3 linked regions of the Schizosaccharomyces pombe genome follow. Each later gene encodes a partner of the first gene's protein in a complex. Each region holds a gene or a part of one and is shown in the gene's direction. Other genes may lie near its edges. The genes, in order: rrp43, rrp42 and csl4.

Evidence for each region.
Region 2: rrp43 (region 1) and rrp42 share a complex: the UniProt entries of both Schizosaccharomyces pombe proteins name them as parts of the RNA exosome complex.
Region 3: rrp43 (region 1) and csl4 share a complex: the UniProt entries of both Schizosaccharomyces pombe proteins name them as parts of the RNA exosome complex.

The regions. Positions count from the first base shown.
Region 1 is NC_003423.3:3,331,182-3,334,921, reverse strand, and holds rrp43 (exosome subunit Rrp43), read left to right. Parts: upstream 1-1,976; 5' UTR 1,977-2,152; coding exon 2,153-2,196; exon of another isoform or gene 2,197-2,294; coding exon 2,295-2,630; intron 2,631-2,736; coding exon 2,737-3,169; 3' UTR 3,170-3,240; downstream 3,241-3,740. Other genes in the region: RNA polymerase I upstream activation factor complex subunit Acr1, read right to left, coding at 567-1,319; dph2 (diphthamide biosynthesis protein), read right to left, coding at 3,426-3,740. UniProt on the Schizosaccharomyces pombe protein: Non-catalytic component of the RNA exosome complex which has 3'->5' exoribonuclease activity and participates in a multitude of cellular RNA processing and degradation events.
Region 2 is NC_003423.3:4,229,795-4,233,552, forward strand, and holds the start of rrp42 (exosome subunit Rrp42), read left to right. Parts: upstream 1-2,146; 5' UTR 2,147-2,158; coding exon 2,159-2,406; exon of another isoform or gene 2,407-2,472; intron 2,473-2,503; coding exon 2,504-3,155; 3' UTR 3,156-3,402; coding exon of another isoform or gene 3,403-3,758. Other genes in the region: kex1 (serine carboxypeptidase), read left to right, coding at 1-16, 64-669; BAG family molecular chaperone regulator Bag101, read right to left, coding at 3,403-3,758. UniProt on the Schizosaccharomyces pombe protein: Non-catalytic component of the RNA exosome complex which has 3'->5' exoribonuclease activity and participates in a multitude of cellular RNA processing and degradation events.
Region 3 is NC_003421.2:2,277,226-2,280,902, forward strand, and holds csl4 (exosome subunit Csl4), read left to right. Parts: upstream 1-2,042; 5' UTR 2,043-2,107; coding exon 2,108-2,653; 3' UTR 2,654-3,061; downstream 3,062-3,677. Other genes in the region: U6 snRNP-associated protein Lsm8, read left to right, coding at 677-701, 756-924, 988-1,078. UniProt on the Schizosaccharomyces pombe protein: Non-catalytic component of the RNA exosome complex which has 3'->5' exoribonuclease activity and participates in a multitude of cellular RNA processing and degradation events.

The DNA.
Region 1 (3,740 bases):
CCATCCGGCAACTGTTCGTTCTTCGCTTCTCTATGACTTTTTTACTATTTCCGTAGTATTTGTTATCACTTAATCTCCACATTTTTTCTACATCGGACTTCAAGTTACAGTACCACGTGCCGCCCTTATTTTAAACGAACACACCATCAGCTTTGCATAGACTGTTAAATAGCTTATACAATTTAGTAAAACTGTGTAACTTAGATATATTGGAAAACAGTATCATAACAGTAAAGATTTAACCTCAGCAAATACTTGCCACTTCCAGTTTAAAGTGTAGGATGAACTTGTAAGCATGATAAAGTTGAAACAATATTCTTGTTGCGTAGAACCTTTTTCCTAGATCAACGCAAAAACAAAATAACTTAAAAAAAAAGAAAAGAAATTCGGATGCAGAAAAACTATATGTGCAAATACGGCGGGAGTTACACAAATAATTAAACATATACATCAGCCAAAAGATGTTTACTGGAACATTAATTGTTGAGACTTACGCAGATTGACCTGTTCACAGATGCGTGTTTTTTTTCAAAATACTCATACTTATTAAATTTCCCACCAATTTCTTAATCCTCAAATTCTATCGAGATTTCTGGGTTAGAGTGTGAAACTTTTTCAATATCAATACTAGGTTGTAACGACATCTCTTTGAATAATGATTGACAAGCTCTTGTACCATTGCCCAATGCAAGAACGTCTGCTTTTTGCGACGAGGAAAACGAACCGTTTGTGACTCGAGCAAGTCCGTAAAGAATCTTCCAATCCATAGGCTTTACACGTGATTGCATGCTTTTGCTTCCCTGTTCTTGTCGAAAAGTATCAACCGAATCAAAAAGGCGTTCCAATTTTATCTGTAACCTTTCAACCAAGTATCGGAGGCCATCCGGATTAGGCAGTTCCTCAGAAGAAGCCATTCTACCCAACTTGTGTAATTTTTTTGATGCTAAACGCACAGCCAAATATGCAGCCTCTTGGCGAAACCTCGAAGCCGAGGTTCCATCAAAAAATGATTCATCGGGGATGGAATGAATTGTAGGCCATACTGCACGTAGACGTGGTGGAATCCTTCGTTCATAACCGTCCAAATCGCTTTGCAATTCATTTCGACGAGTTATACCAGCTTTATAACTGCAATAAAGTTGAATACACAAATTTTTCATCTCAGATCTTCTCAGTTCGGAAACAATTTCTCGATACTCTATTAGCTGTGCGTATAGAGCATCTTGCTTTCGCATTTCTTTTTCATCCGAAGTATCCTGAGAAGAGGAAATATCCTCTTGACTTCCTTGCTGCTCTAATTCTTCCTCAGAATCATTCATAGCATCATTTCCTCAGAAGGTTTAGCATCCGGCTGTTGTGTTCGTAGGCTAGAGGTTAAGGAAAGGTCATTGTACCTGGCGCGATATTAAGTGTGTTTACTGACTTTTTTTTTTAATTTCCTTTAACTATAATCTAATAGAAAAAAACTTTTCCTTTTTTTTATTAATATAAGACTTTTGCTTCGTCTAACAACCGATAAACTAAGAGTGTGCAAATTTTGAAATATAAACATGCACCCAAATAACTTACTTTAATTTAAGAGCTATATATTATGCTACTTACCAAATTCCGTATGTATTCTGCTGACTTTTAATTGTTTAATTATGCCTTATTTTCTTTAACCATGGATCATTGTAAATTTTGTTATTTTACCTTTTTTTAAAAAAAAAAAAATCAGTAGAAAAGGCCTTAAATAAATTTTTTTCGAATTAGCATTTTTAAATGTTAATTATGTGATCTCTTTTTTCAAAATCGTTTAAACGAATTGGGATTTTGTAGCTAAAATTCAAATGAATTATCAATCCTTAATTGAAATTTGCACCGAATATACCTTCAATAAATTAAAAAAAAACCAAGGAATTTAAACATTTTAAGGACCTCACAAACCTTTTATTTACCATATAAGTTTTTCATACTTTACTTCGTACACCTATTTCATCCCTCTACTCCATTTCATAATTTCAACCTGTAGACAAAATTCAGCACATATATCGAATTCTTGTGATTCATATTCATTTTATATATTTTTCAGTATCGTTCTTCAGTTATTTGGTCTTTCTACGTTACTATATCATTTAGCTTCGTTATTGAAACACTACATTCTTTTCACATCATGAAAACTGTTTCGGGGGTAAAACAGCTTTCATTTACACCTTCGTAAGTTGCTCTTTGATTTCTTATTCTATCTTTTTTAGTGCTCTGTTTCCTTTTCACTTTGTTTTTCTTTGTTACAGTACTAACATTTTACTGGATAGAATTTTTAAGAAAATCACGCCTGAGCAGTATTTATCACATCTTCTTAATCAGGATGTTCGATCAGATGGGCGGTCTGTATCAGAATTCAGAGAAATTGTAATTAATGATAATTGCATATCTACTGCTAATGGTAGTGCTATCATTCGAGCTGGCGAAAATGTCTTTGTGTGTGGAATAAAAGCAGAAATTGCTGAACCTTTTGAAAACTCTCCCAATGAAGGTTGGATTGTTCCCAATCTTGAATTATCACCTCTTTGCAGTAGCAAATTTAAACCTGGCCCTCCTTCTGACTTGGCGCAAGTTGTCTCGCAGGAATTGCATCAGACTTTGCAACAGTATGTATCAAATTATTGGAATTTTTCTAATTTTCTACCATACGTTTCATTTATTGTTAAACTATCATTTAGAATATTTAGTTACTTTTACTAACAACTTATACAGATCTAACTTGATTAATTTACAGTCCCTATGCATTTTTGAAAAAAAAGCAGCCTGGGTATTGTATGCTGATATTATTTGTTTAAATTATGATGGAAGTGCCTTCGATTATGCATGGGCAGCTTTGTTTGCCGCTTTAAAAACTGTTAAATTACCAACTGCTGTTTGGGATGAAGATTTAGAGAGGGTTATCTGTGCTTCTACCCTTACAAGACCAGTTCAATTAAGTACTGAAGTTCGTTCTTTCTCATGGTCAGTATTTGACGACAAGTTGTTAGCCGACCCTACAGACGAGGAGGAGGACCTTTCAACTGAATTTTTGACAATTATGCTTAATAGCTCCAAAAATATTGTTAAGATAATAAAGCTTGGAGGCACTCACATTCAACCCCTTTTATTAAAAAAGTGTATTGAGGTTGCAAGGTCTAAGTTCTAACAAATTTTTGGGTTATCAAGGTGTATAAATTTTGAAAGTTTGAAAATATTCAAGTTCGTTTTTAATGCTTGAAACGTAATATTGATCTTGCTGTAATATAAAATACTATAGTCATAAAGCTAATTGATTTTCAAATGCTGTAGGAAATTTTTTTTATATAACTTATGAACCCTGTTTATCTCCTTTAACCAGTAAACTTTTTTTTGTCAAACTCTAAAACACAAGCATAGGAAGAATGATCAACTCAATACCCGATTTATTTACCAAAATCACGTTGAATCTTTTCTTTGCTGCCTTCACCAACATATCCTTTGGCGATGCCACTCTGTCCTTCGTATAATTTACTAGGACCTTCTCCTTCATCTACACTGTCAAGTCCCGACCAAGATTTTGACTGAAGAAACGCCGCTGCTGGAGAGTAAACCCCGTTCACTGCAAGACTTCTCATGCCACGCTTTTCTATAGAGGCTGAGGACGAGTCATTATTCTTTGCATCGGCAGTCTCAAGAGTAACGTCTAAATGTCGCATCGGGGTTGAATTCACAAACTTTCCAGTAATCAGACTAAAGTG
Region 2 (3,758 bases), 900 kb from region 1:
TACTGAATTTTTAAGTGTATGTTTATAATTATATGATAATATATCTTTTACTAACATTGTCAGACTCGTGAAGCGATGACTTCCTTAAACGTTAACCTCGAAAAGGTTCATGATTGGGAAGAATGTAATGACGACGTTGCCCTACAATATGCTCGTGAAGGGATTGAGTCCTCATCTAAGTTAATCCAGGACCTTGTATCTACGGTTCCTATTTTGTTGTTTTACGGCGAAAATGACTTTCTTTGTAATTATTTATCTGGCGAAAAATTAACCCGATCACTGGAGTGGAATGGTGCTGTTGGTTTTCAAAATCAATCTGCTCAACCATTTTATCTTCCGGGCTATTCTGATCAACCATCGGGCTCCTATGTTAGTTCCCGGAACCTGACCTTTGCTCGCATAGTTGAAGCTAGTCACATGGTTCCATACGATCATCCTAATGAAATGAAGACCTTGATTACTGCTTTCTTTAATAATGACTTTGCCAGCTTACCATCGGTACCTAAACCCTCTCCGGATTTAGGTAATGGAAACTACAAATGGCTTTATTTGGGTTTGATTCCTGTTGCTTTAACTATCATTATTTTATTCTCAATTTATTTGTGCAGGAGATTTGGATTATTTGGTCTTAGCAAACAACGCTACCAACCTATATCTCCAACTCCTTAGACTGTATATAAATCTTTTCTGTCGGTTTTTACTTTCACATACAGATTTTCTGCTCTTTATTTTAATCATTTAACTTTTAATCTTGCTTTATCGGTGGTAGAATTTATTTTTTTATCTTGGAACGTTCTTCCCTGGTTTTAAAAAATCTGCGATTATCACCATAAATTTTATCTCTCATCTTTAATCAAATTTCACTTATGGATACATTCTTTGAATTTTTATTTTTGCACATAGTCTCTAAATGATCTCAAATCATGAATATGAAATATCATGTACCAAACATTGTCTTATAGCTATTGTTTGTTCTACAGTTTTTGTAGTTTTTTTATAGGACAGATTAGCGTCAAACGCTAATCTCAATAACGTGTTTGCAATAGTACAGTATATCATGGAGAACTACGTCTTGTAACATGTGTCACAAATGTATAAATACTAGTGAGATCTGTCTGTTTATATTGACAATCCGTTACATCCCTTAATAATCGATTATTATAAATAATTTATAATCGAATCACGTTCCTAAATTCAGTTAGAAGCTATAGCAATGGGAGGATTCTATCACATCTACGCATGAGAACAAAGGAGAACTGCAAGCTAATAACAGATCTACTGTAATCATATTTGACAATCCAAAATCGACGCACGTTATCAGGGACACAATTGATGCGTTTGGTAAATTTTACAGACAGCCTTAACTAAATAGGTCTAGGCAACGAGTGAACTAGCTCTATATCAAAGAAGAAATTGGATAGTTTTATTTCGATGACAACGTCTTTAAATCCATGATCCAATAGGCCCAACTTGCTTGTGGATGGATACTTACAGATGGCACGCTATCGAACAGAACACCAGATATGATCTTATTGCTACTCGGCCAAATTGCATCAAAGTGGTAAATAATATTTCAGCGTAGGTTTTGCATCCAAAATTTTGAAGGAATAGGTTATAATGAAGCACCAACTGCCCAAGCATTTTCAACTGATGTAAACTTGCGAAATTTTTAGAGAATGCGCCTTTTCTGCTGTGTCAATAAACAAGTCTTAGCTAATAAAAAAACATGTCGCAGTAGTACTGACAACGCTATAATTTACTACGTTGTGTATCACATTTGGAACATGTTCTATTTAAACATAGCCTCGTAGATGATAGATATTGGGGCAAATCATTTGATATCTGAAACAAATATTTAGTTTATATGTTCAACAATTTAAATAGGAAACTAAATTTCGTTCCTCACTTTAGTCAGAAGCTAATAACAGAAATAGATCATAAATAATACCTACATATACCAATATTTTCAATGACTCATAGCCGTTATACCTATGTATTATAATATAACAGATCACATGTAAAACTTATCGCGGTTTTGCATATCGTTAAACAGATACAAAACTGCGTAGCATACATAACGAACTTTAGAATATACGCAAGAACTCAACGCAATATTGCAAGGAAAATTATTCTTAAACGATATACCATTAGCCAACATATGCAATTGTCATTACCAGAACTATCGTACACACACAAATCAATAACAGAATTTGAGCCTGCAATTCGGAATGATGGACGTTCGATAGACCAGCTTCGTCCGCTTTCTGGACAAGTAGATGTTCTGCCTGGTACAAATGGTTCTGCTAGAGTTAAATGGGCGTCTTCGGTGGAGATAGTCATAGGTGTAAAAGCAGAAGTGGGTGATGCTACTCCCGAAGGTGGTAAATATGTCGCTTCAGTTGAAATGTACGTGAGATATTTGGAGTTCGTATTAACATTGTTTGGCGTAACAAACAATATGAATCAATTGAAAAAAGCTGGTATGCTAACACTTTTTATGTAGTTCTCCATCTGTTTCAATCCAGAATCGTGAAACCGATGAAATTCCTTCATTCCTTACAAGTGCCCTTCAGGATTTATTAAACGCACTTGCTGTCGACTATTTGAAATTTACACCATCTAAAGCTTGGATTATTCACGTAGATGCTGTTGTAATACTTTCTTCGTCTCCTTACGAAAACATTCTTTCAGCTTTAAGTCTTGCTGCTTATTTAGCATTACAGACTACACGTTTACCTAAAATTTCTACCCCCAATGTCACAGACATCACTATTGGATCTACTAAATATGAGCCTTCCGAAGAATACGATGTTGATTCAGAATGGGAAAATGCATTACCTTTGCAAGGGTTAGAATTAATGTCAGTCATAATTTTGGTTAGTAGCATTGATCAAGTGATAATTGTTGATCCTACAATTGAGGAATCAAGTGTCGCTCAAGTGACATATGCGATTGGTGTTCAAGCTAGTGGTGCTATTAGCTATACCAGGGTCGTGGGTACTGGAGGAGGCTACGCATCCACTGGACGTGCAATAACTGTAGAGCGATATATAGAATTGTTAGAGACTGCGTCTACCGTTGGTACTAAGCTTTTGAACGCCAGCAGCGATATTCTATCTTTTAAGGGTTTAGGATTTTTTGATATTCTTCCATAAATGAATTGGGTTGGGTTGGTCTCCATTTCCTATATAATAGCATCTTTCTCTCTATATATATATATAAATGCAATACTTGGGTTACGGAATCAGGATCAATTTTGTTACATGAAGAGGCATGCATCGGTATTTTTGGTTACTATGGTTGGTCATTGTATTTCGTTTAGGTCAAAGTCATATAGCAAGTATAGTAGATGGGAATAATTTAAGGGAAATGAAATGGTAACGTCTATAAAAATAATAAAGCCTATGCGGCCACTTCTTGGCTTGTTTGGTCAACGTGATCCAACATTTTTTGGATCTTAGAAACAAGTTGCTTCCGTTCAAAACGCAATTTCTCGCTGCCCAGTACGTCAACTCCATCCAATTTTAAAAGCTGTTGTAAAAGTAGTTCACTTATCATTAGTTTCTGTTTGTTTTTCTGCTTTGGATCGTTCGACGGTTTATTTACGTAATTGTCGTACATGGGGGAAAGTTCTTTGTCAACATACTGATCGATGGCTTTTATTTCTCCAGAAATACGCGAAAATACAGGATTCTCCGCTTCCGCTTTCGGAGCGGGCTCAACCGTGTCTTTTTCCTTGGAACCTCGTTGTTGCTTAT
Region 3 (3,677 bases), on another chromosome or scaffold:
AAGATAGTAAGGCACATCGATAACAATCTAAAGTTGTGAAAAAATTCTTATAAAACGGAATTCTTAAATACTTATTTCTTCCAAATTATTTAAGCAAACCTTCAAAAGAAGAATTATCCTTCAATGATTTAAACTCAACAACTATCAAATGAAGTAATTCAAGAATATAACTGTAGTCAAATATATACATCTATATTCCCCACGTCCATAAGATTTGTATATTTGTTTACAACGGGTATTTTTAGTTAGAAGAACGGTTGCTTGTAATGATGAGGAAGGATTCGTGAGCCGGATATAGCTGGAATAATGTTCAATACCTTTTCCTTTAATAGATCTATTTTACAAAATAAATTTCGTTGATTAATAAAACAAAAGATCATTTAAAAATCGTGCGCTTCACAAATTACTTTAATTTTCTTTTGACACAAGATTGTGTTCCTTTCCAAACTAAAAATATAATTGGGTTACTTCTTATATTGATAGCAAAGTTAGCTTCAAAATTTTAAGACAAAAAGGTGTTTTCAATTTGATTAGTTTATTAAAATTCTTGATTTTTTTGTTTTTGCTGTATGTTTTATAAAAAGTATCATGTCACTTGAAATACATGCTGTAAGACTACCTACTTTTGTTTAGCACTACCATACTGTAATACAACTAATACTTAAATCACTTTATCATGAGTCTTGCTGATTTTATGGAACGTAAGTGTCAAATTTTCAATAGAGAATGAAGTGACTAATATAGATGTTCGTTAGAAAGGGTTCAAGTCATTACAAACGATGGTCGCGTTGTGCTAGGTTCCCTGAAGGGATTCGATCACACGACCAATCTTATACTTTCAGACTCATTTGAAAGAATTATTAGCATGGATCAAGACATGGAAACAATTCCTTTAGGCGTTTATTTATTACGTGGAGAAAATGTGTAAGTGGACGCAGAGCCTTGTACTGGCGGTACGTAAATCAATAATCTAATAGTTATTTTTAGAGCAATGGTTGGATTAGTGAATGAGGAATTAGATTCAGAAATAGAATGGACCAAAATTCGAGGTGAAGCAATACCTGACGTTGTGCATTAATACAAAAACCGGACGTTAAACTTCAAATGAGAACAAACGTTTAAGGCTACATAGGATTTGGGTTAATGATTTTTTTGTTATATTTCCTCTTTGTGCGGGCGAATCCTTTGCAAATTTTGTTAAGCTTTCCACGATATATTCATACCTTGCAGCATGTCTTTTATCAGGAAGCTATTAGCTCGTAGAAAGAAGTGAAAATTCTTTCTTTATTTTTTTAAAAAAATATGACTGAGGTTGTAGATTAATTCTGATGACAAAGAGTTGACACTTGAACGAAAATACTTAAAAAAATGGTTTAAAATACCGAGTTCGAGGACATCGGTTCTTTCAGAATTTAAAAAATTCTTGGTTTCTTGTTAAATTTGTGGATCACAAACTCATTTTTCTTCTTATTTTGTGGGTTTCATCTTTCTTAAATGATTCTTGGGAACGTTAACATACCTTTGTTTCCTTAATTTGATTTATGCACTTTGATTTTGAAATTTGTGGTCAACTTGTTTAAAGACTTTATATTTATCATTGATTTTTGTTATTATATGGAAAAAAACATCACAATTTATATCATTTACTGTGCATAACATTCTTCATTTTTGCTGTCACGCTTAATGTTTACACTGGAAAATTTCTCTACCTTGAGAAATATTTCAGCATCATGGTCCAATTTACAAAGATCATTTGAGTTAAACAAAAAAAATGATTTATTATATTTGCTGCTCATATTTTTTTTTTAGTGATTTTTTATTTTGGCATCGTTTTGTGAACTTACTTTCCAAGCTTTGGGATTATCAAGAAAAAATTTTTGTTGAAAGAAGAGCAGAAAAACTGTTTGATAATTAAATGCCTTTGCAATTTCATTTTCTCAATTTAGCAAAATAAACTGAAATTTCTGCAGCAGTGACTTTAGGTTACATTGTAACCTACAGTTTACAACGACCTTTGTGCTTACAGCAACTTTTTTTCAATTAATTTTTTACAGCCATACAAAACGGACTTGATTCCTTTATTTTTAGTTTATTAAAGCCGTTAAATATGAATTTGGTTCTCCCTGGACAGGTGGTCGCGAGAGGGGCTCCTAACGGTGAAGGAACGGTAAAGAGAGGAGATTATATTATTTCCACACGAACTGGCATCTTTGATCCAGAGAAAAATTCTGTAACGTACCCAAGAAAAGTTGAAGAGACAGCCGTTTTACCTAATGTCGGATCTATTGTTTTAGCTCGCGTCAGCAGGATCAATGCTCGTCAAGCAACTGTAAACATCTCAGTCGTTGACGATGTCTGCACCAAAGATGAATTTCAAGGGGTAATACATGTGCAGGATATTAGAGCTACTGAGAAAAATAAAGTCAAAGTGCAAAATTCATTCCGACCGGGTGATATTGTCAGAGCACTTGTAATTTCACTTGGAGACGGCTCTTCGTACTTTTTAACAACAGCTCGAAATGATCTTGGTGTGATTTTTGCTCAGTCTAGTGAAACAGGAGAGCAAATGTTTCCGGTGGATTATCAGCATATGCAAACAAAATCAGGATATACGGAAATGCGTAAATGTGCTAAACCTATATTAGACGAATAAAATGAGGGGATAAAATTGCTTTGTTTTGATATAACCTGATAGTTTTTTTTCCCTCTCGGTTCGTTCTTTCCTAACAAAAAAAAAATTCTGAAATTGTTAGAGATTTTATGATACGAATATACGGAACACGGATAAAAATAATATTGAATATAGAAATATTGGAAGTTCATTAGAATGATGATTGAGGTGACTTGCTGTCGAAACCGATATCATTTTCAATTAGAAGTCAAATGTATAGTTTTATAAGATATAGAGAACCTTTGTAATTCAACTGAACGGACAGGAGCTCTGAAGTTTCTTAAAGTTATTTACTTAATGGAACTGAATTGGTCGGTTGTTTATAAACTCTAATTCATTAACAAAAACATGAATAAGGAGTTTCTAGCAATAATATGTGTTATGTTTACAACTTTCTAAGAAGGTTACTGTATTAAGTTATTTTGTGTAATTTAATATCGAGGATTGCACCTTTCATTGGAGGCTGTGATATCCTGAAATAACATTTATGATCACAGATTTAAGGATGAAGTATTTAATGACATGAAAATTAGTATTCGTACACCTCTCAGTAACTTTTCAAAACTACTTTCAGTTTTTACATTAAGGGATTGGATGTACTTTTTATACACAGTTTTATAAAATACTAGGTTGTCTCTAAACATCAAGTATCATCTCAATCTTTACTTTCGGCCATTAGACTGATATATTTTATATCAATTAATTAGTAGACAACTGTTTCCAGATTCTCATATAAGCACGAGAGCTTCTATTCTACCCGTCTTTTCCGTATATAGCTGTCATGACTCATTAAGCTACTCCAGCGTGAGACTATCAAATTTAATCTCTTCATCCCTAATATTTGTTTGTAAATACTTATAATTGCAAAATATTCCATTACCATGACATCAAATAGAGGATTCTAAATCCAATTCGCAGGTACACTGACTTTAATGGATTCTGGGCTAGTTCCATAAAAAGGGATTGAAAGGTTTTATTTTCCATATGATAATAGGTTTCAATAATC